Linked DNA regions of Drosophila melanogaster. The protein of the gene in region 2 interacts with the protein of the main gene of each other region in a pairwise test. Each region holds a gene or a part of one and is shown on either strand. Other genes may lie near its edges. The genes, in order: ple, CG14684, CG32137 and Obp56a.

Region 1 (11,110 bases), on a different chromosome or scaffold from region 2:
CAAAACAAACAAAATACGAAATGCGAACGAGGCGCGCGGCTATTTTGCATATTCAACAATTTTACGGCTAAATGCGGGCAATAAAAACACAGCATCAGTTAGCCGGCGTCATCTTTGGCCCAAAGTGTGATTCAGCACCCAAACGAGTTGATCTTGGAAAGCGGAGGAGCGGAGATTCCCCCGACAGCGATCTTCGGTTTCCACAGCACGTGATTGACATATCATCGTCAAGTGGTGGAAGTGGACTCCCCTTTTCGACAGCTCATCGCCGTGGAATAATACTAGCCGACTTCGATTTGGGAAAGCAAAACCTCAATATTATACAATAATTAGCAACAAAAATGATTGCCACTCGTAATTAATGCACATAATTGCCGCGCCAGATTGCTGCCGTAGAATGTAGCTCGCTAGAATGGAGTAAAAAATACAAAAAAAAAAAAAAAAACAAAATAAAAACAGAATTGAGAATTTTTGAAATGGACTCTTAATTGTATTTATTAATTGCGTTTAATTGAATTATGAATAATATTTATTTGCCCCCCTAGGAAGTGCCGGTACAGTCCTACCACAGATCCGTATTCTCGGAAGTCCCCAGCAAGGGCATCCGACGAGGGCTGGGAAATTGCCAGTTCCAAGTGGATCGACCAAGGCTGCAAGATCGTGTGATCCGATCCGATCCGGAGAAGGGGAAGTGAAGTGATCCAGAGCGGAAGGTTGGGAAAAACTAAGCTAGTGGCTTCTGGTTTCTATTTAGATTCTAACAAGTACTTTAAATTAGTTTTTATTCGGATCTTTCCTTTTATATTTATTACAATATCCTATTAAACTATAAATGTGCTGGTAGTAAATTTGTAAAGAAAGTACTTTAGTTAGTTAGTTATTTTTTATTTAATTTAAGCATATTCATTTATTTTTGTTGTTTTTAAGATTTTCTTTAAGTTTCTGCGTAAACAAACTTTTGGTCAAAATAAATCCCCCTGTTTACCAAACTTTAACATCATAATCTTTAATTCAAAGAATCTCAATAAAACTATCTAATTAACATAATTGGAATATTTATTGCTTTCTATTCTTATTCTCAACATCAAACAAATGGCCAACAGGAACTGCTTTCCCCGGATTTTTGAAAAATTTTTAGCATTTCATGCTGACATTAATGATTGATGGCATGGATACAAAAAGAAACTGTACTTCGATATTCCCATTTTGGGCAAAAAAGTGGACTACGTGACCGAGGCAAGCATAAACACATTATTATTATTTTTTTTAATAGAACAATGATTTTGTGTGGCACAGTAAAAACCCAATAAAGCCCGAAAAGGTCGTTTCCAGCAATTGCCGCCTGTGAAATTTTTAATTATAGAATCTAATTTGTTTGAACGCTCTTTTATCTTGATGATTGATCATTAGGTCTAAGAAAAAAGATCAAATATAAAACAAACGCAAAGAAAAAAGTAAATCCGTCTTATGTAACAAAACTAAAAAATTGCAAAAGCCAAAATCATCGACCTTCAATTGCGAGCCAAACTCAGTTCTCAAAGGAGCCATTTCGAAAATGTTTTGTGGCAAACAATTAAACATTGTTTAATGGCAGGGAGATAGAAACGCCCGTGTAGAGTGTTTTTTAACTGATTATGGCTTGATCATGAGACTTCAATAAAACAAACAATCCGGTTGACCCATAAAGGGGTCGGGCATGGAGGGAAGTTTTAGATGGGGAGATCGCTTAGAAGCTAGTCAACCGTTAAAAGGTTCACGGCCAAGGACAAGGAAATCCCAGTGAACGGCTACCGCCTCCATGAATCACGACTTGAAGCTCAGACTCCGTGTATCTGAAACAATTTTGTGACTTCTGGAACCTTGGGCGTGTGCTCGTATGTATATTCGTTTTGCATATTGTTCGCCGTCTCATATCTAATACCTTTAGAATACGCTTGTATGCGGCGTGCACAATTATATTTAAATATTTTAATACAACAAGTAAGAGAATTAAACAGCGAAAATAGAGGCTGTGCCTTAATCATGCAGCCCGGCTCACAGAACAATAGTAGAAATCTTAAGTCGGAAGAAAAGTTTTGACCCAGCCGTGAAGGTATTTGAACATGTGAGAGGTCGAGATATAAATATATATATATATATATGCTGGCTTTAATCTGTAGGCACTTAAACTATAACAACATTTAGCTGAAATTATTATTTGATTGGCTTCCTAAAATATTGCTCGAAAATCGGAAGTAAATGTTTAGCCGAATGTGAATGTGGTATTAAGGCTAATGTGGGAACTTTTTTTGCCAGTGACTAATGGGTAATATAGTACGCAGTTTACTGCTAGTTGGATAGTATTATATTTTTTAAATAATTTAAGTTATTTCCAGTAAGTGCTATTTATTAATTATTACCCTCGATATTCTAAGTAAAAAGCTTTTCGATGTTGTCAAATGTATTTCCTAGCTCCCACAAACTTATTAACTCACCAATCCCACTCTATCGATCCAATTTGTATAATGGATCTATCAGATCGATAATTATGTTTTTGCTACTCCAGATGCCTTAATAACTTAATGCGGATCGAAGCAAATAGACGTATATGTGATGTGTTAGCTCATTATCGGGCTCGTTAGCTCAATCAAACGATTCGATCTACTAATTTGAACGGTCCGCATTAACATCGGCATTAGTTAGTTAGTTAGTTGCTAGATGCAGGCTGCAAGGATGACCGGATTGTTGGCAAGTACAAGTGCACATATGTAGATCAATGGCAAATTTGCTTCGATCTCGACATCGCCGCTAACTGAATTTGGTTAAAAGCTAACACGATTGAAAATAATGCTGCCACTGCCACTGCCACTGAAAATGTCATTCGAATTGGCGGCCCGAGTCCAATTTGAGAAGCGGCGGCAGCCTTGCCAACGTTATCAGCTTACAGGACAGGAATATATATATAATTATTTATATAGATTGCTATATGGTCGGTCTCGTAATCCGTCAGCTGCCATATGCAAATCCCAATCGCCAGATGTTTTGACGGGGCTTTCAATTATGCCATAGATATTGTAATGTGCCTGTACTTATCGCCCGGGCTTAGTTTAATGTGCTACATTTACGCATGCAAATTAGTTGTTAAATGTGCTTTTAAAATTTAATCGATATGGCTGGGTGCCACCTACTTACATCTCGGGCACGCACGCAGCCATGTGATCCGTACTTCCTGTTTACCATTACTTTGTTTTCCAGCTCACTTTCACTTGGTCCCTATACGATCCGCTTCAGCATCCGCTCTAGTTCTGACGCGATTCGATTGAGTCATTCAGGATCTAATGCGAATTGCTGGGTTCTAAAACTGAACGAGATCTTCGACTGTTGTTACACCTAGAAAAATGGAACGTATCATAAACGTAAGGTGCTTTTATTGTCTAAAACATTCTTAATAATTTTAACCTACTTCTTTAAAATAATTCTAGTGGTTAAAAACATTTCCCTAAAACAACTTACAGAGTAAGAATGTCATATATTTTCATTATTTTGCTCTGTGCACACACGGCGTATGCTTAACATTTGGCATGGACTAGCTTCGCTTTGTTTGGATTTGTTTTGGTTTTTTCTGTATGACCTGTTGAGGCTTTTCAAATGACTCCCGTTCGACTGACTGAATACTTTTGGGGTATTCTACCACCATTCCGATTGACGCGCACGCGCTAATGGTTAACCCCGCTTTTTAGCCAAGCTACAAGAGCAACAAAAACATGGCCAATGCGACGTTCTAGCCTGTTGCCGCACTTGAACTTGGTCGACCAAGTTGAGTCGAGTCAGGCCCCGCGATTCTCGACCCACTCAGCTGGCTGGCTAGCTGGTTAGCTGGCTGGTGAGAGGAAACCCCACGGCATCGGCATCTTGGCTTTAACCCAGCTACAGCTGGGCAACTACGTCACAGTCGCGTCATGCGAAAACCAGTCATCGTCGTTTGGTGAAGCAAACAATCGTCGGCAATCGGCCGAAACGTTCGTTAACTTGGCCGTCGGAATCGGAATCTGGGGGTATTTAAGCGGCGGCAACTCGACATGAAGCATGCATTGATTCGCTATCATTCGCCCTAAAGACTTGTGCCCAGCCTCAAGTAGTTTGCTGACTCTGTTTGTTGTAATACAATTTAGCTGACAAGGATAATACACATCACCACATCAGTTTCGAGTTCGCGAAAGGATCCAGCTAAAGTTCAACCGATCAACCATCTATATATCCCGCCGTGAATTCGAGAGTCGAGAGTTCTTGTCCAGCTCAATTCTAGACGCAAACAGTTCAGTACCAGGAGCGATTTTCTTGAAAAACAAAACCACCCAGCCAGATCGCCAATAAGCAGTGAAAGTGTCAACACATTTCGAGTGCTTATTGCAAATCAAACAAGAAAAGCGTAACCAAGCACATAAGCAAATAGTATTCTAAGTGTTTTTGCCAACACTTTGCGTAAATTTTTGTTGTTCACCCCAAACGAAAACAACCCAAACACACAAAAAAAAATGATGGCCGTTGCAGCAGCCCAAAAGAACCGCGAGATGTTCGCCATCAAGAAATCCTACAGTATTGAGGTGAGTCGAAAATCCAGCAAAACATACAATTTCCAAATCGAATTGTAAAAAAAAAGAAGCAAATGAGTGACTAGATTTGGTCTACGTGACTATCTAAAGGTTTTGTGTTTTCAAAAAAAAACCAGTTAACCGGCCAGTAGTCGAGCCCATTTTTGTGATCCCGCATTTCTTTTTCGCCAATTCAATTTGACCAAACTCAATCCTCGGTTGGCCATTAAGTCACACCTCTAAGAACAGGCGGCCCAAATCGAAAGGCCCAAATCGCCAACGGACACAACGGGTTGTGTGTTAAGTTATTATTTAACAAATAAGTGAAAGTGGCTGCCTTTGGGCCCCATGCACTTAGCCTGGCCGAAACAGTCGCGCCTCATTGTTGTTGACTCGTCTCTGTTTATGTTTATGCTGCGTCCGAGCAAAACAAAAAATATGAAATCAATATAAATGATTCAATGAGTTGGTCATCTTTCATCAGCCAAAGCGGTGGCCCAAAAAAAAAAACTGAAGAAAACAAACAAACAAAAAAAAAAAAAAACGAGCTGACAGTGAAAACTGCAAGTGATGGAAACCTTTTTCCCCCCATCAAGAAAAAGAAAGAAAAAAAACCTTTAACGATCGCCAGTTGCATTTTTTTCCCGCCAGAATCGCATGGGGATTTTCGATTTCTCAGTCACATATCATTTATCTTCGCACCTGCCCGCTTCGAAGCGGCGACATCGCATTAAATTACCATTCGTGGCTTTGAATCACAATCAATACAGTTCCATGAATAGCCAGCTTTATTCAAAGAAAAAGATCTGAAGACGGCGCTTTCACACACCATTTTATATAATATTTTCAAAATTGCGCAATACTCTGCTCAAAGTCACCACCCAAGCGTGGAGCCGAAGAAAGCCACCCTGGCTTGAAGGTCAAGGCAATCGTCTAATTTCCGCTCCACATCCTGCCAGTGTCACTAACACGGACTTCAATCTTTTCGCTTTCGTTTCCAGAATGGCTATCCATCCCGCCGTCGCAGCCTGGTGGATGATGCCCGTTTCGAGACCCTGGTGGTCAAGCAGACCAAACAAACCGTCCTCGAGGAGGCCCGCAGCAAGGCAAATGGTAAGTGGATAGGGTCCAACAAGTGGGTCACTAAAATAGCTCCAAAGAGGGTTTCTATTTGGGATCAAAAGGGAAATTTTGCAGCTAGGGCTTTACTTGTTGATTAAAAACTTAAAAAGTTGCAATTTTTATTTCATTTTATTCGTTTTGACATAGATTTGCGTTTTTTTCTTATTCATTTTAACCCTTTATTTATTATTTGCCTTCGTTTTTATTTTTATGATTTTAAAGACGATTCCCTGGAAGATTGCATTGTGCAGGCTCAGGAGCACATTCCCTCCGAGCAAGATGTGGAGCTCCAGGACGAGCATGCCAATCTGGAGAACCTGCCCTTGGAGGAATATGTTCCAGGTTAATATCCATTTCCATTTCAATTCCCATGCCAGTTACTCCTCTTTCTGAGCCTATTATCTTTGATTTGATTTTGATTATGATTTTCATGGGCTTTATTATTATTTTTATTTCATTCGCTTTTAGTTGAGGAGGATGTTGAGTTTGAGAGCGTTGAACAGGAGCAGTCGGAGTCGCAGTCGCAGGAGCCAGAAGGCAACCAACAGCCGACCAAGAACGGTGAGCAGGGGGTTCTAGAATCCAGCAGCCAACCATAAGTAGTACTTAACTTCTGAGAGGGGCTTTTGAAAAGCGTGCGACATTGATTTAAGTGCTTAATATGATAAAGTGCCAGGGCAGAGGAAAAGCACTCAGCCACACGGACAATTGTGAGTGGGCGCGCTCGCTCGCTCTCTCTCTCTCTCTCTCTCTCTCTGTGGAAATGTCGCATTTCCCTTTTTCATTTGTTACGCTCGACTTAATACAAGTACGAAATGCGTTTGCCTGGCAACCGTCTCACTGCCACTGCCACGTAGCTCGCTTATCGTTTACGTGACCCTAAGCCTTGGAAGATTGCATCCTTAACCATCACATTATCCCCGCTTTTTTTTGGCCCTTTTGCAGATTACGGTCTCACCGAGGACGAGATTTTGTTGGCCAATGCCGCCTCCGAATCCTCGGATGCCGAGGCTGCCATGCAGAGTGCCGCTTTGGTGGTCCGCCTCAAGGAGGGCATCTCCTCCTTGGGTCGCATCCTCAAGGCCATCGAAACCTTCCACGGCACCGTCCAGCATGTGGAGTCCCGTCAGTCGCGCGTGGAGGGCGTGGACCACGATGTCCTCATCAAGTTGGACATGACCCGTGGCAATCTGCTGCAGCTGATCCGCTCCCTCAGGCAGTCGGGCTCCTTCAGCAGCATGAATCTGATGGCCGACAATAACTTGAATGTCAAGGCTCCGTGGTTCCCCAAGCACGCCTCCGAATTGGATAACTGCAACCATCTGATGACCAAGTACGAGCCCGATTTGGACATGAACCACCCCGGATTCGCCGACAAGGTATACCGCCAGCGTCGCAAGGAAATTGCCGAGATCGCATTCGCCTACAAGTACGGAGACCCGATCCCATTCATCGACTACTCCGATGTGGAGGTCAAGACCTGGCGCTCGGTGTTCAAGACCGTTCAGGATCTGGCTCCCAAGCACGCCTGTGCCGAGTACCGGGCCGCCTTCCAGAAGCTCCAGGATGAGCAGATCTTCGTGGAGACCCGTCTGCCCCAGTTGCAGGAGATGTCCGACTTTCTGCGCAAGAACACCGGATTCTCTCTCCGTCCTGCCGCCGGTCTTTTGACTGCCCGGGACTTCCTTGCCTCCTTGGCCTTCCGCATCTTCCAGAGCACCCAGTATGTGCGCCACGTTAACTCACCATACCACACCCCCGAGCCGTAAGTATCTATCATCATATTTTACTAGGGGGTTAAAATCACTTCAAAAAGGGGAGAAAAAGGCTCTTTGTCCTAGCCTAATTGCATTTGCCTGCCTGCCTGCCGCCTGCCTCTGTGTGTGTGTGGGTGGTTGGGTTTCCTTTTCCGCTTTTCCCAAGCAACTTTTGTCGCCTGGAACACAGGCAAATTGGCTACAGGAACTGCGGCAGGCTGCCCAGCTCATTTAACCAGACTAATTGCCTTATGCCAGCACATTTTCCACACTTTTAACAAGCATTATTCTATGCCATTACAGCGACTCCATTCACGAGCTGCTGGGTCACATGCCCCTGCTGGCCGATCCCAGCTTCGCCCAGTTCTCGCAGGAGATTGGACTGGCCTCGCTGGGTGCCTCCGACGAAGAAATCGAGAAGCTGTCCACGGTGAGTTGATTTTCTAATTGAGTTGCAATGTAACGACCTTAGACTCAAGTGCAGCTATGACGCAGCTAGTTTTTTTTCGCAACCAAGATCATTGTTTAGTCACTGTCAAAGTCGAAGAGGAAAAGTGAACTTCAATGCCAGAATAATTTTTTTCTTTTTATTCATATAGTTTACAGATACAATTTAATGCATTTCAAAACACTTAATTGTGATTTTAAATAAGTTTTTAAGTTCAGAAAACCTTGATCTTATAAGTCATACAACTTCCTGCATTATCTGCCTTTGCTTTTATTTTCCTTCCTATTTACTCATTGGTTCCTTACCATTTCATTTCTACAGGTATACTGGTTCACTGTTGAGTTCGGTCTCTGCAAGGAACATGGTCAGATCAAGGCCTACGGTGCTGGACTCCTGAGCTCCTACGGTGAGCTGCTCCATGCCATCAGCGACAAGTGCGAGCACCGCGCCTTCGAGCCCGCATCCACCGCCGTGCAGCCCTACCAGGATCAGGAGTACCAGCCCATCTACTATGTGGCCGAGAGCTTCGAGGATGCCAAGGACAAGTTCCGTCGCTGGGTGAGCACCATGTCGCGTCCATTCGAGGTGCGTTTCAACCCGCACACCGAGCGCGTCGAGGTGCTGGACTCCGTCGACAAGCTGGAGACTCTGGTGCACCAGATGAACACGGAGATTTTGCATCTGACCAACGCCATCTCCAAGTTGCGACGCCCGTTCTAAGTGGATGGGGGGGAGATATATGTATGATATATAGAAGCACCCAAAAACATCGCCCAAAAAAACACCAGCCACCCCCACCACCCAAACATACACATACAGGTGCAACGGTCTCATTTATACAAATTAATTTTAAATTGACATACCGCACAATCCCTCGTACACGTAATCCTTAAACCAAAATTAAGGCATCGCGCATTATTTTTTATTTTTTGTTTATTGTTTTTTGTTTAATTTTTATTTAATTGTCATCGAAAAGTTGTAATTGTCGAATCGCGCACATGGTAAAAAACACAAAAATCAAGCATATTTATTTGTTGATCACCCGATACACCACCCAACCTGCATATTTATCACCGCAACTATTATTGGACCAAAAAATCTTTAGACGTTTAAGTGATGTGAAAACAAAGCCAAGCCAAGCCAAGCAAAGCAAAGCGAATTAAGTGAAGTGAAAAGCTGGGAAAGCAAAGTTCAGATACATCCGCACTTAGTAGGCAAAGTACCACACAAAAACCGATTGTATACTCAGACAAAAATTGTTTTTGTATTATTATTATCTTCATTTTGCCTCTCACAATATTTACCTAGACTATATAGACACGCGATATAGTATTCCCGGTATAGGAAGCTTCATTTAGAGAGAGTATTTCTAAACAAAAATGATATAGATACAACAATCGAGCAAGGAACAAATGGAAAACAAACAAAAAAAAAAACGGAAAAGATAAAAAATGAAATGGAAAACAAAACAGAATTTTCTTACATTGTACAATAACTGTAAACGACAATATTACTATTGTGTACTATTATTATTATTATCTATTATTATACTTATGACTATTACGTATTGTATTGTAGGTATGTAGAGTTTAAACATTATTATTTTATTTAAGTTTTGTGTATTAATAAAATTAAAAATGCAATTGAAAAATAATTACTCTTTGGTTTTTTCATTTGATTATCTTCTTTGGCAATTCGAAACTCTAAAGTCTGAATCTGTTTAGGGAACATTTTATGACATCAAAATGGAATATTTATTTAAAATTAATGAGTAGAATCGAGGAATATGATAAATATATTTATGGGTGAGAAGAAGTGAATCTCATGTGAACTAAAATCGAGCTATGTAGAAAATATTTCACAAATTTGATGAAATTATATAAAATAACGAAAAACCTTGGACCAATACATATGTATTATTATAAAGTAATTAAAATCAAAATATTTCAAAGTAAACAAAGTAAAACATTGGGATCAAGAATATTACATATTTATAGTTAACGTAGCATGGAATTTTATTGTTATTGTTCGATGTATTGTAGTTGCAATTGGATCGAAAGCCAACCAAGTGTTAACATTTCTGCAAGCAATTAGCCAAACTAATTACTAATTATATTCGCACATAAATCTATATATATAATCAACTTAAAGCGCAGTTGGTCCCCAAGCCAGGCTTCGTTGGTTCTGAAAAATTCAATAAAATTATATGTTTGAATGGAGCACAAAACGTGCAGATATCGTAAATATATATATAAATATATATATATACACATTCTTCTCTATATGTACATTTAATCGCTATTATATGAATAAAGTTGAAATCGTTTAAACTTGAAAACGAACTAAAATTCTGGGAGGGGCTGTGGCACGCCCCCAGCAATTTACAATGATTTTTTTATTTTTTATTTGCACACCTTGACTTGCCAGAGATCCTGAAGTCATGATTAACAATTGGAAAGGGGCCTGCGATGGAAATATTTTATTCTATTCTCAACCTGTGCCAATTTATTTTAATTAGCAGGCTCCACTAATTAGTCTTAATTGCACGCGAACATGCTGTAATTAATTACTGCAGTGGAGCTTTCCTACCCAAACTATTTTTCATCTGCCAATTTTCGGTGATCAAGATGTTGATTTATATTTATCAAGTTTGTACTTTAATATTTTTTTTTTACCGATTATCAAAAGCGACAGCTGTTTTAGAAACATGACCTACCTCAGCATATTAATTGTGGTAAGGAAAAAAAATCCGATAAACACCTGAGCGGATTTATCATATGCCAATTATAATATGTGAACGAGTACGGGTTTATTGTGATATAATAATTGGCTGTGTGAATTGAAACTGAATGTGCTAATAGTCTCGAGTAGCAACAGCGATCGGATGTAGGCGATATGGAGTGGACTCGTGGGAACGCCCACGTTGTCGTCCAATTATAATGATATTAATATCAAATCAGAACGATAAGGGACAGATGTATCGAATCTAAAATGCCCTCGCAGGTGTGCCGATCATCAAAAGGGTTGTACTGGGCATAAAAGTCAGGGGATTTCCAATAACTGCATTGCTTAAGGTAGTAGTACCTATAATCTTTCGCAGGTGTGCTGAAAAGAATGTCAGCTTATCAGATTGAAGAAATGCAGTTGTTCTTATTTTGAGATAGAAGAATCGTTTGTATTAATTATTTGAACACCATGGACACATATGGGAA
Region 2 (6,380 bases):
AAGCTAAAGAATGGAAACGAAATATTTTTAGTTTTTATATATTTTCATGATATTATAAATGAATTTTTTTTTATATGTAGACAGGTTGGAAATATATAAATTACACGAATACCTATTTTTGGCCCTCAAAAGTAAGGTAGTATTCTTGCACAAAATCGCAACCAACAATGCATGATTTTTGCTGACTACTTTCAAGCCGACTTTTTAGGTACTTTGTCTTTTTCCAAAGTTCCCCTTCTTCACTGTGCTAACGTCACTCACACGAGGCGACTCAAAGTAGTCCACCTTTCGTATGTTAGACACTATCTTGAAGTAATTGGCAATGATCTTGTCCACTTCTTGTCCCTCATATGCGGTGGCCAATTCCTTTTCACATCGTGAGACTACGTTCGTGAGCAGACCTCCGGACCGAAAGAACGCTATGTTGATCTCCCGTTTGACCCACTTGCAGATATGTGAATGGGTGACTGGCTCGAAAAAGTGAAAGATCTCGTAAAAGTGCTCGTAACTCTCGCCAAATTTTCGCATTTCAAGTTCACCCAACTTGGGAATGTCCAGGTGGTTTCGTCTGATGATATGATATGGGTCGTATTGCTCCGAAAAGTTTGAGAACCGAACTGCTGGCCAGTCGAGGTTCAGAAGGGTGTTGTAGAGATTCTTCGGGTGGCCAAGGATTCCATGGGACAGATCAATCAAGCGGAGCTGCGATCCGGGCACAACGTACTCCAACTCGATCTGAGCGATGTGAGGATCAGTGCCCCTATACTTACGCTTTCCTATCCACAGAATGGGCAAATCCTCCGTCACAACATGCTCCAACTCTTGGACCAGCGGAGAGATCTGGACGCGATAATTGAGGTTCTTGTTGTTTCGGCCGTAAAGAAGACTTCGCTCCGCCTCCGTGAACTCAAGGTACTCAGGGCGGACGGAAACAAAGTGCTCCGACCGGAAAAGCCGATTCATCTCCATTTCGATGACGAAATACGCTCGGCGATGCATGCATATCCAGACTATTTGGATGGATACTGCCAGAAAATGCTCATGGAAGTACTTATCGTGGATAGTTGCTGAAATGTTGGAAATCGGCTTCATGTGGTAGTACTTGGCCATAGATCCCTCGCCCTTGATAATCTCACAGTAGTTTCGGGCTAATAGCATGCGGAAGTGGCTCAGGTAAACGGAATAGGTTTTCTTCATCTCAGTGGTCTGCTCGCTCTGAATTTGGGCCATCTGGCCAGAGAGTTCATCTCTGCGAATCAGGACGAACTCCACCAGGCGTAGGTAGTACTCAAAGTACAATGTTAAGGCGTGGAGCACGGACTGCACCTGTGGCTCATGCATGAATTCAATGAACTTGTAGGTTAGAAAGTCTTTAGGCATCAAGTAGAGCACCAGATCTCGAATATCTCTTAGCACCACTGTGTCACTGGTGTTGGACTTGGCGCGTACATACTCCTGCCGGAAGATAAGCTCCTCCTCTTGGTCGATGGTACGCAGGAACTTGTACCCATTGGTGATTATATAGCGCTCTCTTGCGTTTTCCAGATCGTTGTGCGCCTGAAAGTTGAGGCAGTCCTTCTCCGAGTCCCATGACCACTTGCCGCTGTAGTACTTTGGAGCGTAGTTATCGACATGGACTCTTTTCATCGTAGTCGCGCAGATAAACCAAGATCGGGTTGTGTTTAGTGTTTTTAAAGTGTATTTAAATTGATGTGTACGTGACGAAGTTTAGTGGAATTATGCTCATGTTTAAAGGCCTAAAGTGAAGTTTTATTCCCAAGCTCCCACCTACGAAACCCATACCCTTGATCGGATGCCAATGTCTTTCGTCTTCGTGCATTTATTATAAAATAGCAATCCATAAGTGTCAGTGCTTTAAAGCTCCGATTTTCTGTATATATAATAATATGCAAAAATTGCAATTAACGTATAAAATTAGGTAGTTTTTTTTACCGCTTTGCCTTGCCTACACTAAATCGCGATGCAATACTACTACGCGTAGATGATGCATGCTCCGGATCTCTATCCTCCTTGCGTATTTTGGACATGATCTTAAAATAGTTGGAGATGATCTGATCGACCCTTTGTCCTGAAGATGTGCTTGCCAACTCCTTTTCACAACGCGAGACTACGTTCGTGAGTAGACCTCCGGACCGAAAGAAGGCTATGTTGATGTCTCGTTTGACCCACTTGCAGATCTGATGGTGTGTGACCCGCTCATGAACCTTACAGAGCTTGTAGAAATGTTCATATTTCTCTTTCATTGTACGCATCTGAAGCTCACCTATCTTGGGTATTTGCAGGTGAGGTCTCCTGATTATATGGTACGGATCGAACTTTTCCGAGAAGTTTGAGAAGCGGACAGCCGGCCAGTCGAGACTAAGAAGCGTGTTGTAGAGGCTCTTGGGATGGCCCATGATGCCGTGCGATACATCTATAAAGCTGAGCTGCGAACCGGGCACAATGTACTCCAGCTCAATCTCGGCAATGCGGATATCGTTTCCTCTGTACTTGCGTTCGCCTATCCACAAAATGGGCAAATCCTCTTCAGGAACCAGCTTTAGCTCCTGGACTAGAGGCGATTCCTGAATTCGATAATTGTAGTTCTTTTTGTTTCTGCCGTAGAGAAGACTGCGCTCCGCCTCCGTGAACTCGAGGTATTCTGGGTGGGCGGAAACAAAGTGCTCGGAGCGGAAAAGGCGATTGATCTCCATTTCGATTACGTAATACGCCCGGCGATGCATACAGATCCAGACTATTTGGATGGCCACTGCCAGAAAATGCTCATGGAAAAACTTATCGTGGATTGTTGCTGAAATGTTGGAAATCGGCTTCATGTGGTAGTACTTGGACATATTATCCTCGCCCCCGATGATGCGGCAGTAGTTTCGTGCAACAAGCATACGATACTGGCTTAAGTATACCGAAAAGGTTCGTTTCATATCGTTGGTCTGCTCGCTCTGCACCTGACCCAGGGGACCGGAAAGCTCATCCCGACGTATAAGTATAAACTCGACCAGTCGCAAATAGTGCTCAAAGTATATAATCAGGGAGTGAAGCAACAAGTGCGTATCCCGCTCGTACATGAACTCAACGAACTTGTAGGTTAGAAATTCTGAAGGCATAAGGTAGAGAACCAAGTTTCTAATATCTCCGACCACCACAACGTCACTATAGTTGCTTTTCGGTAGCACATACTCCTGTCGGAAGATGAGCTCCTCCTCCTGGTCTATTGTGCGCAGGAACCTGTAGCCATTGGTCATAATATAGCGCTCTCTTGCGTTTTCCAGATCGTTGTGCGCCTGAAAGTGGAGGCAGTCTTTCTCCGAGTCCCATGACCACTTGCCGCTATAGTACTTTGGGGCGTAGTTATCCACATGAATGCGCTTCATTGCGTTTGGCAGTAAATAATGGTATAAATTTATAAAATCGTATTTTAGTCAAAAGCAGTGAAAAATCAGTGTCGTTACATTGAGAGTTAAATATTTATGTTCCTCAAAAAGACTGAAATTTAGATGCTGCAGCGACTCCGATTATTTAAAAGACCAAATACAATAATTTCCAAGGGCGTGATTTTTCTGTCAATCTGTATTCTCAGAATTTGTATTTTCCGGTACCACGCTGATTTAGGTGACCGGTGTTTCCCGGACTGTGCTAAGCATGTTCCGCCGCACTAATGCCGATCCGGTCATACGGCAATTTATTCTGCGCACTGCAGTCCTCAATTATCTTGGCAAGAGTCTGCGAGAGCAGTATAATGAATATTGCCTTTTGAGAACCCAGCACGAAAATATTAGGCTGAAGACTGCGAGTGATCAAGAGCTTGAGGACCTGCCGACTCTTTCCGAGCTATTTGAGATGCAACAGTTGAAGACGGCTGCCACCCATCGTCTGCTGATGCGGGAGTACCAAGAATTGCTTGCCTACATGATGGACAAGAGTGATTTGTGGGACAGTCAGGAGTACTTCAAGGCCAAGTCTGCGCTTGGGGCGGCCATCCACAATCTACGGGTTTGTGCACCCACCAAACCAATGGACTAAAACCAGTCGAGAGGAACATTTGCCAGATAGAATTCCATTCAATCAGTATATATACATACATAAATAGTGAAACGATCCACGAGCGACTTAACTACTTGTAGAAGGGTATCTCCACGCGTCCGGATTTCGTGTTAACCGCCTCCCAGCAGGTGCACGCAAAGGTTGAGCGGTCCATGTGATCGGTGTATAGTTTTCCCTCCAGGTGATCCATTTCGTGCTGCGCTATCCGGGCATTCCAACCACTCAGAGCCAGTTCGCTTTGGTTTCCTAGTTGGTCAAGGCCTGTTAGCTTTACACCTTCGAAACGCTCCACTTCGGCAGAGTAACCTCGCACACTCATGCATCCTTCTGGATGCTTCAGCTTCGCGTAGTTGGTCACCGTCAGGACGGGATTGATGAAAATCTGTAAGAAGCAAACCATTGTATTATAGGGTTTGGGCTTCCGAACACAGCTAGTTAGGACCCCAGTCTCACAGTCAGTGGCAACTCGGACATTTGTCGGGCTTGGTAAACGGCCTCGGGCAGCTCCTTTCGGATCCGTCCCTTGAACTCCATTGCTATGATCCTGAGCGATACTCCAATCTGAGGAGCCGCAATGCCGACGCAGTCGAACTTCCTTAGCACCTTGACCATCCGCTCGACGATGGCCTTAATCTCGGGGCTAGCCATGTGCTCCTTGGGCACCAAAGCCGCTTGTTGCCTAAGAACAGGGTCACCAATCTGGGTGAAATGGTTGTATGGCGGCAAGTTTGTGCGCTCCGTGGTCCACAGGTGCTGGTACCACTTCCTGAACGACTGATTAGCGGGAGGACTCGTTCCAAAGGATCGACAATGTCCCAGAATCGCTTGGCATACTTTTATCCGTGGTTTCAGGTGCATTTTGTGAAATGTTTAGCCTCCTTTAATATTCCGATCAAAATCGTAGGGAATATAGTTACACAACACGGTCATACTGGCCAGCTGACCGGCTAGGGATGTGAAAGTATGTACCTATCGATATATCGGTGGAAATAGATTTGATATTTGGCGCGCTTTTAAATATATGCTAGGTGCATAAAATACTTTTTCCCCGCACACAAAGTTTATTTCGTAAACAGCGCATTCATTTCAGAAGTGTATTTTATTTTCAAACAATATACAAATATGTTGTATAAAGCGCCATAAAAAAGTGAAAAGCTCCTTGAATTAAATGCAACCAAGTTATTACTTGTGAAACCAAATGGCGGATCGACCTTCAGCTGCGTTGATTTGCTCCCAGAGGATGCAGTTGAAGGTGGAGAGATCCATCCTATCCATGTAGATAGTTCCATTAAGGTGATCCACCTCGTGCTGGGCGATCCGTGCGTTCCAGCCCTCCAGTTCCATTTCCGACGGAGTGCCCAGCTTGCCGATCCCCCGGATCCGGACCTTATCGTACCGTTCCACCTCAGCGGAATAGCCTCGCACACTCATGCAACCTTCGGGATGCTTGTTTACTTGGCTGCTGATTATCTCCAGCTCCGGATTAATGAAGACCTGCAAGCAAATGATTTATGATGAGAAATCACGGGATTGTTGCTGCACATAAGCAATATTTTTGTATGCAGAAATTTAGTTTCTCAAATTCATACGTTTATAAAACTGCATAGATTTACATATATTTTTCGAACGCGAAAAGAAAAGCTTTACTTACGGCCAAGGGCAGTATGGACATCTTACGCTCCTCGTAGATTTCCGGCTTGAATTGCTCTTGCTTTCCCTCTCGGAATTCCATAACGATAATACGCAGCGGTATTCCAACTTGGGGCGCAGCCACGCCCACGCAATCGTAGTGACGTAACACCTTTACCATGCCGTCAATAATCTGGTTGATCTCCCTACTATCGATGTCCTCGGGCGGCACCTCTTCTGCCCTTTGGCGCAGAACAGGATCCCCAATTTGGGTAAAATGACGATATGGCGGAGCGGACATGATTCTGGTCGGAAGAAGATCTCTACTGAACCGTGTCTATCGAGCAACTACTGCACAGAGCTGTCGAGGTGGACAGATTTTGATACGATAGCCTTATCTGGGGATCAGCTGATCTGCCATTTGAAACACTGGGAACGATAAGTCTACGGTTCGCATTTTAAAGCGGAAATATATACCTTAAAAATCCAATACAATTTTTTAAAAATACTAGTAATATCCTACAATATTAGTAACAACAATATTGCCAAGCTTTCAAGATTTATAAGTATTTTATTCACGAATAAATAATTTTGAAGTATTTGAAGTCTCTTGAAAACCTAATGGATGTGTACGACCTCAAATCAATCGAAATAGTATTCCTGTGGCGTTTTCTTTTGGCGCGGCGAAT
Region 3 (7,916 bases), on a different chromosome or scaffold from region 2:
TGACCACTGGTTCATCCATCCAAGCAGCGAAGTGACATTGTGCGCTCCATAACTTTTTGAAGAAATTAATTAGATACGCGACCAGCCATTTTGCATATTGCCAAAAACACGCAAATAAAAGTGAATCCAGCGAAAATGTGGCTCACGTCACTTTGCTAAACAAAGACTAAAAGGTAAAGTCAAGGTGACTAAAATTCAAGAGATTTATGCGGCAGCTCCACGCCAGAATTCCCTAAGCAATAATTGTTATTAAAAAAAGAAACAAGCAAATAATTAAAGCGACAATTGGCGTTGTTCAACTGTCAGGTGTTAACCTTTTTTTTTTGGACTGGCCCAATTTCATTAGTCTAAAGCGATTTCCATTTAATGGCCAATGGAAAATGGAACATGGGAATTTCTCACTTTTCGGCTTTAAATTGGAGCGCTCTATAATAAACTTAATGGTTTTTTCGGGTGCCAAGCGATTTTCATTTAAATTGTTAATGGTTATGGAATGCATGAGGTGAGCAAGCAAACTATTATTTTAATGGGAATTTTACGGGATTAAAACACAGACTTTGAAGACACGTAAAAACTAAACTCGAACAGAGAGAGCATTTTATTATTATTGAACTTAGTTTGATATTTACAATGTATAATGTATACATATATATTGTATAATTTTGGTTTTAAACTCAATGAGGGCATATAAATTTAATAAGCAATGGAGTTGTTCTCGATTTTCAATAAAAAATTCATTGCACAAAAGTTTTTGCATATCAAAAATGACTCAAAAAGACTCGAACATATGTACAAAATTTTCACGATGACATCATCTGACTAAATATCCAGGATATTACGCGACTAGCCCCCCCGCAATTGGCCTTCGCACTTTCATTTCTCAATGAAGATGAAGTCACTCAACGTGCTTAACTACAAAAGCAAAAAAAAAAAAAGGAGAATACAAAACCCAGTTAAAGTGACTAAGCCAACTACGTAAATATGGCCCAAACCCACGGAAAATATGTACCAACGAAATTATTCAAGTTCAACGCATTGCTGTGTCCTCTGTTTGGGTTACTCACACCATCAGGTGGTCCCCAAACCATCCTCACATTTCCTGTTCTCTTTTCGTGCATTGAATTGCCATTAATCGGCGTTGAAGCCTAATTGATAAGAATACATTGTTGTTTACCGGTCGGTCAACAAAAGTACATTAGCCTAACTATCGGTTCAGGATGGAAAAGCGAGGTAACTAAGTTTGAGGCAACCAATATGCTAATGTGAACGGCCACGAACTTGAGCCGCGGCTTGAACTTCACTTGGAGCGATTGCTGGAACGGGTGTTTTATGTTTACCTATCTTCTTCTATTTCTTCTATTGTCAGTTACCTGGAAGTATCTGTAGTGTGTGTGTGTGTGCGTGTGTGTGAACAGGTGACAGGCGAACGAACCGCACCCACCCACACAGAAACCACCCATTCGAGCGGTTCAAGGTCGGGCGGCAGACATAGACTTTGGAAACATTTGGAGGTGTTGTGAACAGACTTTGCTTTTCCTGCCATGTTATCAGGAAAGTGCTCGATAAAGCCAATTTTTAGAGAGACTTCAGAAGAGCTCTTCAGCTATTTCATACAAAATGTGTAGGGTAGAACTTGTGATGGAACAAAAATCGATACCCTTACGTGATACACTATATAGTTCAGTAGTTTACTGCGCACACACACACACACAGTATGTCATCGTCCATAAAGTGACATGACTGTAACCATTTTTGTTTGTCTAAATAGTTAAAGAACCCACCCCACAATATAAATTGCAGTTGACAGTTTGGGGAGTTTGTGTGTTCAGTTTACAGAGCTGCATTGGACAGGTGCTGTGTTTCAGCTCTCGAAAAAAATCCATATTGTATATGTATTATTTAATTCTCCCGACCTGGGAATGCCAGCAATGCGTCAATAGAGGGGGTCATTTACGAACACATGTCCGCCAATAATCAATGCAAATCATCAGGTGAGTCAATCAAAATTCTGGTACTCAGGTATAACTGCCGTTGCCGATTTGATAAATGCGCCGGCATTTAGAGATAACTATTAGATTGTTCAAGAAATCATTAGAGGAAAAGGTAGGGAGCTTAAAAAGGGAAAATAATAAATGGGTCTGAATTTACAAATGTTGGTTTCACACAATTGGTAGCTAATATAGAGATAGAAGCAAAGTGATTATTTTGTTTATTGCTCACACTTTAGTAAATCAGATAGAGAATAGAGATAAAAGAACATGAAAGCATTCCCTCAATAAGCAAGATATCATTAAACTAATAATAAAGAGTGCTTAGATCTCTTCCATTCATTTAGAAAACATAACAAAAATTAATTTTTTCATTTCCCAATTCTTTAAATTGCTGCTTAACCATATTCAAGAGATACATAACTATCATCTCTATGATCTTTTAAATTGTAAGTGTATTAAAGTATAATATGCATTGCCTATCTTTTAAGTCACTAAAGTACCTTCCAAGCTATATGTCCTCTTCCTAAATTTCTTTTAATTCTAACCAATTTTCCTTTCCCCCAAATAACTGACTTCCATTTCAATTGTTTGCCATTTATAATGGCAATTCCACCTGTTAACTTTATATGTGTTTCATGACTCACCTCAATTTTGCTCGAATAGTCCTCGATGAGCTTTTCCTGCTGTTTGACCAGCTCCTCGTTCTTCTCGAGCAGTGCCTTGCCCAGTTCGGCGGCCAATAGGATGTCCGACTCCTTCTGCTGCAGCTGGGCCCAAACATCCGGCTCCTGGTCGTGTCGACGTGCCTCCATGGCGCTGATGTAGTGCTCTAAATCAATCGAATCCCCAATTAGTGACGAATAGTCGAGGTGGTCGAAGCCGGAGTCGTCCGACCGGAGTAGCCCCCCAGCTCCAGCTCCAGTTCCAACTCCGATCGAGTATTGGCCAAACTGACGTGGTCGCTTCGATTTGTTGCCACCGGAGCTGCTGCTGCTGCTGCCGCCGACGATGCTGTTGTTGTTGTTGTTTTTGGTGGATATGGATGAGGCAATGGCGGCAGCGGTTATAGCATTCGCTAGCTTTGGTTTATGCATGATCGTTAGCGGGCAGGCTTGGACTTATTTCAGGCGGGTAGGTGTGGTATGGTGTGTACGTGATATTACGGGTACGGATAATAGCAACGAACCAAATTTACAGACATAACACACACACACACACGCACAGTAAGTTGGATGCAATTAATATCAGTTTAGGTTTTAGTGCGATGCAGAGATCACAATTTTGGTAGTTGGGTTTATCGTTGGTTAGGTGTTCAGATGGCTCTGATCTGGTCGTAGGATTAGCATTAGCTGGCGCGGCGATACGATGATATATCCGAGCATAGTTCCATGGACACCAGCTGCTCCCAAAAGAGAGCAGACCCGTGGTTAAAGCGACTGATGTGTTTGAGCTGCAGTTGATTTCGGTTAGATATATAAGTATAAGTACACAGCCGTAATGAGAATTAGCATTAAATGTGGTATATATATATATGTATGCCCGCCAAGACGGGTCTAATCGTTGGCCAAAAGGAGCGACGGTCACGTTGAGCGTTTGCCAGCACGTTTTTAGTTACTTGTTATTGGGGCTTTTTTTCGGTTTTTGGTTTTGCTAGGGTCAGGGGTGTTTTGGGCAGGGGGGGGGGGATAACATATAACTACAGTGTTAAGCAAGAGGGTTAAGTTAGTCTTTAGTTAAGCTTCATGCGGCTTGGATATCAAATAGGGTTTAAGTTTCTTGCGGATTGGGGGGCGTATTGACATGCGTGGATTTATACAGGTGGGTGGATATTTATAAGGCTGTTAAGGCAGATTATCCAAAAAGAACTTCAGTAGTAGTTCCATTAAATTTAAGGGTATTAAAAGTTTATTTACAGAGGTTGCTTTAGTTAGCGAGGATGTACCAATGAGTTTAGTATGAGTCTCCGCTCTAGGTTTAAATTTCGAAATACCCAAATATATATACAATTAATGTTAAATGATTTTTAAAACATTATCGGCCAACTAAACACAACAATAGAGCCAAACGAAGGTGGCTAGAATCTCTCAAAGTCCACAGATCTCGTTTAAAATTTGGTCCGGTTTTTTTAAACTTATATATATTTTTTAGCCGTTTTCATTTGTTATATAGAAAATTCATTTGGCAAGCACTTCACGCTTAGCTGCTTTTGGTAGCAACAGCAACTGTTGTTAAAATGTATAATACGCTTCAGGCTAAGCTTTTAGCCAACACTTATTTTGTTATTTATGTGCGCTTTGTGTTTATTTTATTTTATTCGTTTTATTTTGATTTTTTTTTTGGAAGCAGCACAGACAGCACAGTTCACAAATACACAACCGATTTGGCTCAAATTGTTGGTATTATTGTTTTGCATTTCCGCTTATATATGCCGTTTTTGGCCAGAGTTTGGCATTATTATTGACAAAACAACAAAAATAACGCGCGGATTGCATGGGATATATTGGTCTAATTAATTCCCCCAAAACGGAAAGTATCCAAAGTATCCAGCAGATACTTTCCACTTTCGCAAGCGCGCTACAGTCTGGCCCTATATATCTTTTAAACTATTTGTATATATATATATATAGCTAACTATATCCGTATATGTATGAGGGCAGAAACCTCGGTCACGACGACGCTGCTCCACTCCAAAGCAGAACTTCCGATGTCCGATGTCCGATTCTCCGATTTTCGGATTCTCCGATGCCGTACAACGCGCGCTCGCTTCGCTTCGGTTACGATTTTCTGGCTTTCCCCAGCTTTTCAGAGGGCGGCTTCGCGGGGGCGTGGCGGATACGTGTGTCTGGCGCGAACGTTCGTTACTAACTGAATGGCGCTGAGGCCGCCGTGCTACGAAAATTGGCAAAACAAATGAGTAACCAAGCGACGACGACGACGAACGACTGGCTAAGCCTCGTATCTTGGCAACAACAACCAACAACATCGGTTGGCTCTCTTAGGTGGCGGTTAACAAAGAGAGTTACCAGTGTTCCACCAGGGTTGTCGAATAATAGCAACGAAGCAGGGGCGATAATCGCAGTCGAGTAATATTATTGGTTACAAAGCAACTAAGATAGCAAATTGCAATTTAGGACGCAGATAACTGATAATAGACTATTTATGGCCTAAGATATCTTCTTTAAGTCAATAAACATTTGGAAAACTGGTTTTCTGTTCAGCTACTGATAGGCATATCGTATTAGGCAAATCTCGATAGCCAAACCTAAAAATAAAATGTCATGATTACTTGGATTATTTTGGACAGAGATTTTGCAGTAATCTTACTTTAAAAATGTAGATCTAAAATCTACAAGGAAATAATTTAAGCCTTAGCATTGTGGATGAATTTTTCATGAAATCGCTTCTTACCTGGCAACCCTGGTAAAACCAAAACACAGCTCCAAAGGTAAGCTTCACTTGGCGCTCTTTTGCTCCGACTTCCTTCCCTTTTAACTGACATATGGTTGATTCGGCTCTACTCTCTTGACTGCTCTTCGCCGTTTGTTTTGCATTGGGCCCGACTTACGAAAGCGGCCAAGTGAACAATAATGAAACGGAGTGACGTTTCGAATGGGGCAGGGGGGCACTGGGGAGCGTGGCCAAAAGGGAGGAGGGCCAGAGACCTGGACCTCCAAAAACCACGACGTGCATACACACATGTACCCAAGCGTACACATTTCAATGCAAAATTTACATACGACAAGAACACAAACAATGGGCACCCAAGAATGGCAATAACAATGGGTATACACTAAGCAATTAATGGGTATATGTTTGCAGGAACTTTATTTCTTCAAATTTTTAGATTCGCGGTCATTTTGCTCTAGGCATCGAAATTATGTTAAAAAGCTAAAGTGCTCCGGAAGGAAGTAATTACAAGCTGTAAAAAATATTCAAATTGTTTCATTAACATCTGAATTTAATCTATATATTATACAGCTCAAAGTAAATGTATCTTTAAAATTTATTTAGAGATCAGTACTAATTACTGAAAATCAGTTATGAAAATGAAATATTCTATCACATACCCTATAATCATACTTCTAGCACATTCTGCTTTTGAAAATGAAAATAGGTACAAGTATGTGACCCCAATGTTTCCAGTGCATCCAAGTGAGGAAGATTTCTAAAGAGGGGGCCGTAGACATGGTCTATGTTAAAAAGCTAAAGTGCTCCGGAAGGAAGTAATTACAAGCTGTAAAAAATATTCAAATTGTTTCATTAACATCTGAATTTAATCTATATATTATACAGCTCAAAGTAAATGTATCTTTAAAATTTATTTAGAGATCAGTACTAATTACTGAAAATCAGTTATGAAAATGAAATATTCTATCACATACCCTATAATCATACTTCTAGCACATTCTGCTTTTGAAAATGAAAATAGGTACAAGTATGTGACCCCAATGTTTCCAGTGCATCCAAGTGAGGAAGATTTCTAAAGAGGGGGCCGTAGACATGGTCAGACCGTCTAGTGCGTGGTACTAAACCAGAGTCATGCCGGCTCCTCACCGCCCAGCGCCAAACTTCTCAAACAACATGCACAATAAGACACTCAAGTGGCCGGGCCAAGTGAAGATGAAGATGAGCTTCAGACCGACACCAGACCATTGTTCTTGGTGGCCAACGCCATCACCATCACCGTCTCCGCCTTCAGATCCATCCATAATGTTGATGTTGCGTGGCCGCTTGTTTATGTTGGGCTACTGTATGGGCTACTGTTTGGCCATTTACCAAATTGAGCTTTCGGATGATGGCCTAACCAGGCGTAACTAACTTTTTTGTGTTTTACTTGATTTTCGCTGGCCAGTGAGTGAAACTTCCGTGCTTCCGGCGCAGATCGATCTATAACTATAACTTTGCCGCACTGCCTAATGAGGAAGGGTTAGTGGCGTGTCTTCCTTTGAACATTTGTGGGGCATCTGGTTGGAATTCTTCGTGGCTCTGTTCATCTCCGGTTTCCATGCTGCAGTTCACCTGCAATCAAGTGTTCTTGAGCTGCCTTATTGTCTTACACTCTCGCTCTTGTTGAGCTCGGCACTCCAGCCATCCATTCATCCATCTTGGGGCACGGCTACCATACCGATCCGTACCATAGCATAGCCACCTAGCCCACCTAAACTGGTTTCGGTCTTGCTCTTGCTCTGCATTGTATCGCAGTTTTTTTTTTTTTGTTTAATTACTTCTGCTTCTTTTTATTTTGCGTTGTTCTTATGGGAGGTTGATTAACTTTTCTGGCATGTTGGTGTCACTTTTTTTTCCAAGCAAATCAGAAATAACATAGAAATTCCACTTGGCCATGGAGTTTGTTACACTTGAAGGATTACAGCGAATGAAAAACAAACCTCGAGAACTGTATTCGAATTTAATCAATTTATAATTTCATTTAATTATTAGTGATTTTGGTCAAGCCATCGTAGTTAGGCTAATATAAACAATTCAATCGATTTATGCACCTTGAAATATTTATCAGTTTTAATATACTTATCAGTTTGATAGCTTTAACATATCTGTTCGATAAGGGAGTAAACATATATCATATACCATATATATACCATCATATATCATACCATTAGAGGAATCTCTGGTTTATACAACATGCATACGTTCTACGTTTCATACGTTATATGAATAATGATTACGAGTAAATTCCTAATGAATTAATCTGTTTTTTTTTTAGGGTATACCACATGTCGTTTAGTCCACAATTTGGTGCGCACATACATCAAGTCTTTAATATGTACAATAATTATGTTGTTTTTAGCGCTCGGCATGAGTCAACGGCAACAAGTTGGGGCATTACCGGGCGTTTTATGGTCAAAAGTTTTGGTTTCTGCGGCGACAAAAAGAACTGAAACTGGATGTGGAACTGGAACTGGAGCT
Region 4 (6,325 bases), on a different chromosome or scaffold from region 2:
CAACTGTCCGACACTTGACACTTGACATCAGCTGCAGCGGAAGCGGCAACAGGAGCCGCAAAAAGAAAATCCCCACCCCGTTCTGCATTTCCTTCATATGGGTGCATGCAAAGTGCCAGAAAAACATTTACCATTGCCGCATATTTCAAATGCGGACACATGTAAAAATGCTGAAGCGCTGATAAGGACATTAACATTTGGCCAAACACATAGACATGGCGGAAAGCCAGGCATGGGGGTTTTTGGGGGAAAACTTCCTTCCGCATATGCGAAACATCAAAAAAAAAAAAAATTAAGCGGAAAACCTTCACCTCGTCGCTTTTGACACGCAAATTTATAACGGCAACAGTGGCAAACAAAAACTTGCTATGGCCAAAACACACAAGCGCCCAGACCCTCAAAAATAAAGAAGGGAAAGGCACAAATTTTTGAACGCATACAAATGCAATTTAAATTTACTTATTTAGAACCCCTGGGAATTTCAAATTATTTGCCTTTTCACGCAAATTTAGCGACCATTTTTCTCACAGAAATAGAACTCAGACAGGTGGGTCGTCGTCGGGCCGGAGTTTTCATAGTTGGGGATATTAAGCCAACCCCCTGACATGTGTACACGGGCTGATTCTTGGGCGTAACTTTTTCCAACTCTCATTCTTTTTTTTTTACTTTCCATGGGGGCGATTAGAAAATGCTTCACCCCACCGAAGAAAGTAACCCAAAAGTCTCTGACAAATGCTCTTTGGCCAGCATGTTGTTGTTGCTGCTGTGTTCTGTGGTGATTAATGACGTCGAAAGCTGAGCAGGATCTGCTCTGCGGGGATGCCGTGGCAGCTTAATTTAAAATGAAAATTGTACTTAATTTCTAGCTGAAATTTGGCGGCATTGGACGGGGGGCTTGTAGACTGATTATGCTCTTCATGGTTTTGCCTTGTGCTCTATAGGGATAGCCATCCATAGCTCAGCTCTGGTTCGTTAGAAATAAGCTTGAACAAATATTACATTTTTGCCTTGTTAATGATTCGAAAGTTGAAAAAGAATGTACAAATTTTGAGAAATTAATCCTGTTTGTCTAGATATTTAAATGGTCACATAAGGGAGCACCTTTAACCTTTTGTAGAAAAGCATCACTTTTATTTGCATTTTACGTATTTAACTCAAATACCTAATACGTTCGAATGTAATTTCTTTTAATTAAACCTTTATAAAATTCCTGACTTAATACAAAGCTTACGTCCAAAACAAAGCCAACAAAAAACTAATTGCCACCTGTTAACATTCCTAAAATGCTTTTACTCTCCTTCAAAATCATTATTTTTATAAAGTTTTCAGATTAAATTGCCAGGTTTTTTTCTTACATCCAACAAACAATCTTTGCATGTGTAACGCCAGAGTTTATCACTCAAGTCGGCTGTCCCCACCACAAGCAAATTGAATTAAGATTACCACACAAGGATTTCAAAGCATTTGCGGAGAAGTCAAACAAGCTTTAGTTTATTATTATTATTGCGTCAGAGCGAAAAGTTTTCAGCCACTGGTTGGTCAGGGGGCGGATGTTGGGATGGTGGAGGGGGCTGTGGTGTCTGCGTGTGCGTTGGAAAATTTTCAATCGCAATCTTATGGTTTATTTCTTTAGCGCCAAAGCTACTTTATTTTGACAGCAGACAAACAAATGTCAGAATTGAAATTAAAAGGAAGGCAGCGACAGCAGAAGAAGTCAGTGGAAAACTTGTGAAAAACACGCCCGACTCAAAGATGTAGACGAAGGTTTTTGCGAGGGAGAAGGGATGTCTTGGCCACAGTACGCAGTCCCAATCAGAAACTCCGGATCCCGGCCACGACTTTGGATCCGACTCCGACTCCGGCTCGATTCCATCAGCCTCAGTCTGAGTCTCAGCATCAGCATTACCACCCACACGCACTGACTTTCCTGCATTCCCGCATTTTCTTTTTGTACATTTCACACAGCGTGAAATTTTCTAAATGTCATTTTGCTGTCATCTCGTGGATAATAAGATTACAACTACGCTGAAATAATAGGATTCAAATGAAAAAACTTTGCCGTCGTCGTCTGTCTCCTTGCGCTTCTCAACTTTCAATACGCGCTTGGCCACACCTCTCCGCCCAGATACATAGATATATATCTGAATCAGAATCCGACTGGGGCGTTGTCGGTTGGTTATTGTGCCTTTAGCTTGGGATCTGCCACCTGGTATGGGGCAGCAGTGGAAAGTTTTTGATAGAGTGTAGCGATAATGAGTGAGCAGCCACAATTTCAACTCCAACTCCAGACGGAGTAACTTGAGCGACCTACGATCTGGACACCACTTGAGCCGTCCCTGTCTGTACCATGTCTGCGTTCTATCTGTATAATTGATTCGATTCCCCAGGTTGGACAGGTAGAAGGCGGTTTAATGAACCATGCTTTCATAGCGACCATAACTTCAGATTGTCTACCTGGCCGCGGGCCACAAATAGACGAAAGTACTGGCCAAGATTGCAAAAAAAAAGAACCCAGCTAGACCAAAGGAAATGGGAAAGATAGCAAACAGAAATCTAAAACCAAAACCAAAACAAAAATCAAAAAGCAAAGCCATCAGCTGGGCTTAGTTGGATCACTGCCCGGGGCCATAAAGAGAAACCGGCTTTTATTGGCAACCAAGCCGGGTATAAAAGCCGCGATCCCATCCCATGTCGGCATCAGAACTTCCCCAACGTTCTAACAAGTCAAAGTATTTCTCAACATGAACTCCTACTTCGTGATCGCTTTGAGTGCTCTTTTTGTGACTCTGGCTGTTGGATCGGTGAGTTTGAGAAAACTAAACAATAGAATTATATGGGTTTTAAAGTCTTGAAATATTTTATTGGACTCTAACCCTATAAGATGTAATATTTATAAGCATATATCTACACTGAAGACCCTGACTTGGCTGTAAATATAAAGTCTGAATCTTCGAGCCTTTGGTGTGTGTTTGGAATATATGAAGTAAACGACTTGGCTAAATGTTTTTGTTATTAAAACCTTAAATTATCATTTTCTTAGTCCCTTAATCTGAGCGACGAGCAGAAGGATCTGGCCAAGCAGCATCGTGAGCAGTGCGCCGAGGAAGTGAAACTTACCGAGGAGGAAAAGGCCAAGGTCAATGCCAAGGACTTCAATAACCCCACCGAGAACATCAAGTGCTTTGCCAACTGCTTCTTCGAGAAGGTCGGAACCCTGAAGGACGGTGAGCTGCAGGAGTCAGTGGTGCTGGAGAAGCTCGGCGCTCTCATTGGCGAGGAGAAGACCAAGGCGGCTCTGGAGAAGTGCAGGACCATCAAGGGCGAGAACAAGTGTGATACCGCCTCCAAGTTGTACGATTGCTTCGAGAGCTTCAAGCCCGCCCCCGAGGCTAAGGCCTAAAGAAGTTAGGGATTTAATGCTTGGCAAATTGTGATTCGGGAAAAAATGTAACAAAATTTAAATAAATTCTTTGTCCAATGAAACTATGCTTTGTTTTCCATATTAGGTGTTAATATGTCTTCTTGGTTTGTTTGAGTTTGGGTTAATAGAAATGCAACAATACGTTAAATCCTTGTTATTATTAAATCACCCAGTTTACTTTGATTCAATGCAATCATAGAACAAGTGCATCATTCTGAATCAGAAGGGTGAGTGGCAAATTTGCCACAGCTTAATTGATGCTCTCAAGCCCTGTTTCGCGTAAGCTGATTATAATCCATATTCATGTGTAAGTCAGGTGATTCGGCGTTTTCAATTTGCATAATTAAATGTATGACTGCATTGAACACTTAAACTGCTTTATTGTTTTAATTTTAGGCACTAATACCCTTAACAACACACTTTTCATAGTTGTAGACAAAGTCACAGGTGGCGGCTGACTTTGTGGTTCCGCAGCTGGTAAGCAAACTCTTTAGCTTATCCACCGGCAGACTGCTGAAACGGATCTGGGCCAACTTAACGATCTTATCAGTATTGGGCTTTCCATCGTCACCCAGGAGACCCAGTTTCTTGTAGACGCAGCTGTGATAGCACTTCACCGACTCAGAGGGATTCGCCACCTCCTTGTCGGTGGTCAGCAAATTAGCATCACTGGCAGCAATATTCAGCTCCTTGATGCAGGCCTGTTGAATTTGCTTGTAGGCTGCCAATTCCGCAGCTGACTGGCCCTGTTTTAAAAATGCGAATAAAATGATGAATTATCCCTAAAGCAACGTTTCATCCAACTTACCGCTACTAGTTCGCTTAGAGCGAAAATTAGGAATACAACCAACAAGTAGATAAGTTTCATCTTTCCAAAGCTACATTCACTGTCGAACTGAATTTCGTTCACAATAATATGGCTTAAATACGCGTAACATGCTTAAGTTCCAGACTTAATTTTGCCAATCAAGTTATTATTTTATTAAAATTCAATTAATAAAATTTATCAATTTTAAACTGGGTTATTTTTAATTCAGATCCAATTTTCCCATTTTAACCAGTAGGCGTTAAATCATCGCTGCCTAGATGATCATTCGGGTCAGTGAGCTTTGTTTGGACTTTGGATTTATTTACTTATTGTGCGTGAAATAGATTTTCTTCTTTTAAGATTGATTCTTATGTTTTAAGTGAAATGGCTTTTGTGTTTCTTAGTTTCTACAAACAATTTTTATTCGACATACAGCTGCATATAATAACATAATATGGGTCTTCTTATTAGTGTATTAATGATTGGGAAATGGTTACTTACTTATTTTAAGTATGATAAAATTGCTTACATTCGTTTTCTTCTTTTTACATTCAAATCAACACATTAGTTTACTTAACAATCTGCCCAAAACTATGCTATGGAACCGTTAAAAACATTTAGAAAAAAGTTAAGCCCAAAATTGAGCCCTATAATATGGTATTCAGCTTTTCAAACACATCAGAAAATATTAAAGCTTTTAATTAATAAAAAAAAAACTCTAGCAACTTAAAATTGTTTAAACTAATTACGCTGAAATGCAAAACTCTTGTTTTTATTTTATTTTATAGCTTTAAAACTCTCAAACGCTGAATAAGTTACAATTTAAGTACTTATTCATACATACATTTAAATAATAAGTGGATTTTCTATATAGCAAACACCGATAAGAAATAAGACCTACAAGTACACAGCTATTTACTCCGACTTAGCGGTGGTCATTGCTTCTCCGGAATGCTGGATGCCGTCGATAAAGTCGCTGCCCTCCGGACCGAATCCCTCGTTCTCCGCCTCGGTCCGCTCAAGTATCTCACGGATACGCTGCTCCGCCTCCAGAGTTTTCAGGTGATTGTAGCACAGGTGCAGCTTGTAGGCTGCCTCGCATCGTGTTTTGCCCTGAAGATCACTACACTCCTTGATCTCCGCCTTCTCATGCTGTATGATCGTTTGCACCTGATTCTTAAAGGCCTCCTCCAGCAGGACATTGTACCTATCCAAATCCAGGGTCTCATACAGACAGCTCACAAAGCACTGCAGCGGCTCATTATGCTTCAGATCGAGATATGGCATCTGCGAGTTGCCATTGAAGTCCAGATCACCCAGGTTATTTACATCGCCAATGGATTGAACTGGCGTAGGGGCTATATCGTTGTCATTATTGTAGTCGCTGTTCATCAGGCTCATGTGAAAGAGTTTCAGTTGCGACATTGAGATCTCGGTCCTACGCATACAAGCCCTCAGCATCTCCTGGCTGAGTTTGTTTTCTGTTCCATTTGGCGGATCTGGAACCAGGGTTCGTGTCATCGACATGTTCAGCGAGACGGAAAGCGATCGGGTCTGTGGATGAAATGTATTTTTGTAAAAATTATATATTGTCTCTATGTATTCCAATATGTCTTTTTAGTTGTAAGAAAATTTGATTCACTTCCCTTTTTTAATATTTACCTTGTAAATATAAAACATATAATTCCAAGTACTACATAAGTCGAATTTACAAAAGATATATAAAATATGAAAAACATTACCCATGCTTTAGAAACGAATTCACTAAGAGTGAGGCAAAGCAATGCCATCAAACTGGCTCGAAAATACATCTAAGAAATATTTTTAAAATTTGTTTGACGATTTACTATAAAAACTTTTCAACTATAGAGCCTGTTGCGATTTAACAAAAGCCTTTTATAGAGTCGTCTTTATGGAAATCGGTTTAAATTGCTATTTAATTGTCGCTCAAATCGATTGCCAAATCATGTTCATGCCTCACTTGCTAGGCCCATCAGGTAATCATATTCAGATACATCGCATATAATGTGTCATGCATCAGTGGATTGCCAATAGCATTTTTGGGTGAGAACTCAAATTAGCATTCGCCAAAAACA

The links.
Region 1: the proteins of CG14684 (region 2) and ple interact in a two-hybrid assay, tested with the Drosophila melanogaster proteins (one large-scale study listed by BioGRID).
Region 3: the proteins of CG14684 (region 2) and CG32137 interact in a two-hybrid assay, tested with the Drosophila melanogaster proteins (one large-scale study listed by BioGRID).
Region 4: the proteins of CG14684 (region 2) and Obp56a interact in a two-hybrid assay, tested with the Drosophila melanogaster proteins (one large-scale study listed by BioGRID).

The regions. Positions count from the first base shown.
Region 1 is NT_037436.4:6,712,478-6,723,587, reverse strand, and holds ple (pale), read left to right. Parts: upstream 1-4,062; 5' UTR 4,063-4,514; coding exon 4,515-4,583; intron 4,584-5,572; coding exon 5,573-5,684; intron 5,685-5,915; coding exon 5,916-6,035; intron 6,036-6,161; coding exon 6,162-6,254; intron 6,255-6,638; coding exon 6,639-7,458; intron 7,459-7,753; coding exon 7,754-7,880; intron 7,881-8,219; coding exon 8,220-8,618; 3' UTR 8,619-10,232; downstream 10,233-11,110. UniProt on the Drosophila melanogaster protein: Plays an important role in the physiology of adrenergic neurons.
Region 2 is NT_033777.3:10,703,343-10,709,722, forward strand, and holds CG14684 (uncharacterized protein), read left to right. Parts: upstream 1-3,631; 5' UTR 3,632-3,660; coding exon 3,661-4,041; 3' UTR 4,042-4,118; downstream 4,119-6,380. Other genes in the region: CG31391 (uncharacterized protein), read right to left, coding at 205-1,647; CG31467 (uncharacterized protein), read right to left, coding at 1,950-3,392; CG31278 (uncharacterized protein), read right to left, coding at 4,133-4,444, 4,516-4,920; CG31373 (uncharacterized protein), read right to left, coding at 5,245-5,556, 5,714-5,992; CG14689 (uncharacterized protein), read right to left, coding at 6,334-6,380.
Region 3 is NT_037436.4:13,936,195-13,944,110, reverse strand, and holds the start of CG32137 (uncharacterized protein), read right to left. Parts: upstream 4,862-7,916; 5' UTR 4,653-4,861; intron 3,442-4,652; 5' UTR 3,086-3,441; coding exon 2,636-3,085; intron 1-2,635. UniProt on the Drosophila melanogaster protein: Functions redundantly with BicD. Involved in formation and/or development of mechanosensory organs during metamorphosis.
Region 4 is NT_033778.4:19,695,029-19,701,353, forward strand, and holds Obp56a (Odorant-binding protein 56a), read left to right. Parts: upstream 1-2,694; 5' UTR 2,695-2,741; coding exon 2,742-2,801; intron 2,802-3,040; coding exon 3,041-3,400; 3' UTR 3,401-3,480; downstream 3,481-6,325. Other genes in the region: Obp56b (Odorant-binding protein 56b), read right to left, coding at 3,814-4,167, 4,230-4,289; Obp56c (Odorant-binding protein 56c), read right to left, coding at 5,145-5,783, 5,942-6,040. UniProt on the Drosophila melanogaster protein: Present in the aqueous fluid surrounding olfactory sensory dendrites and are thought to aid in the capture and transport of hydrophobic odorants into and through this fluid.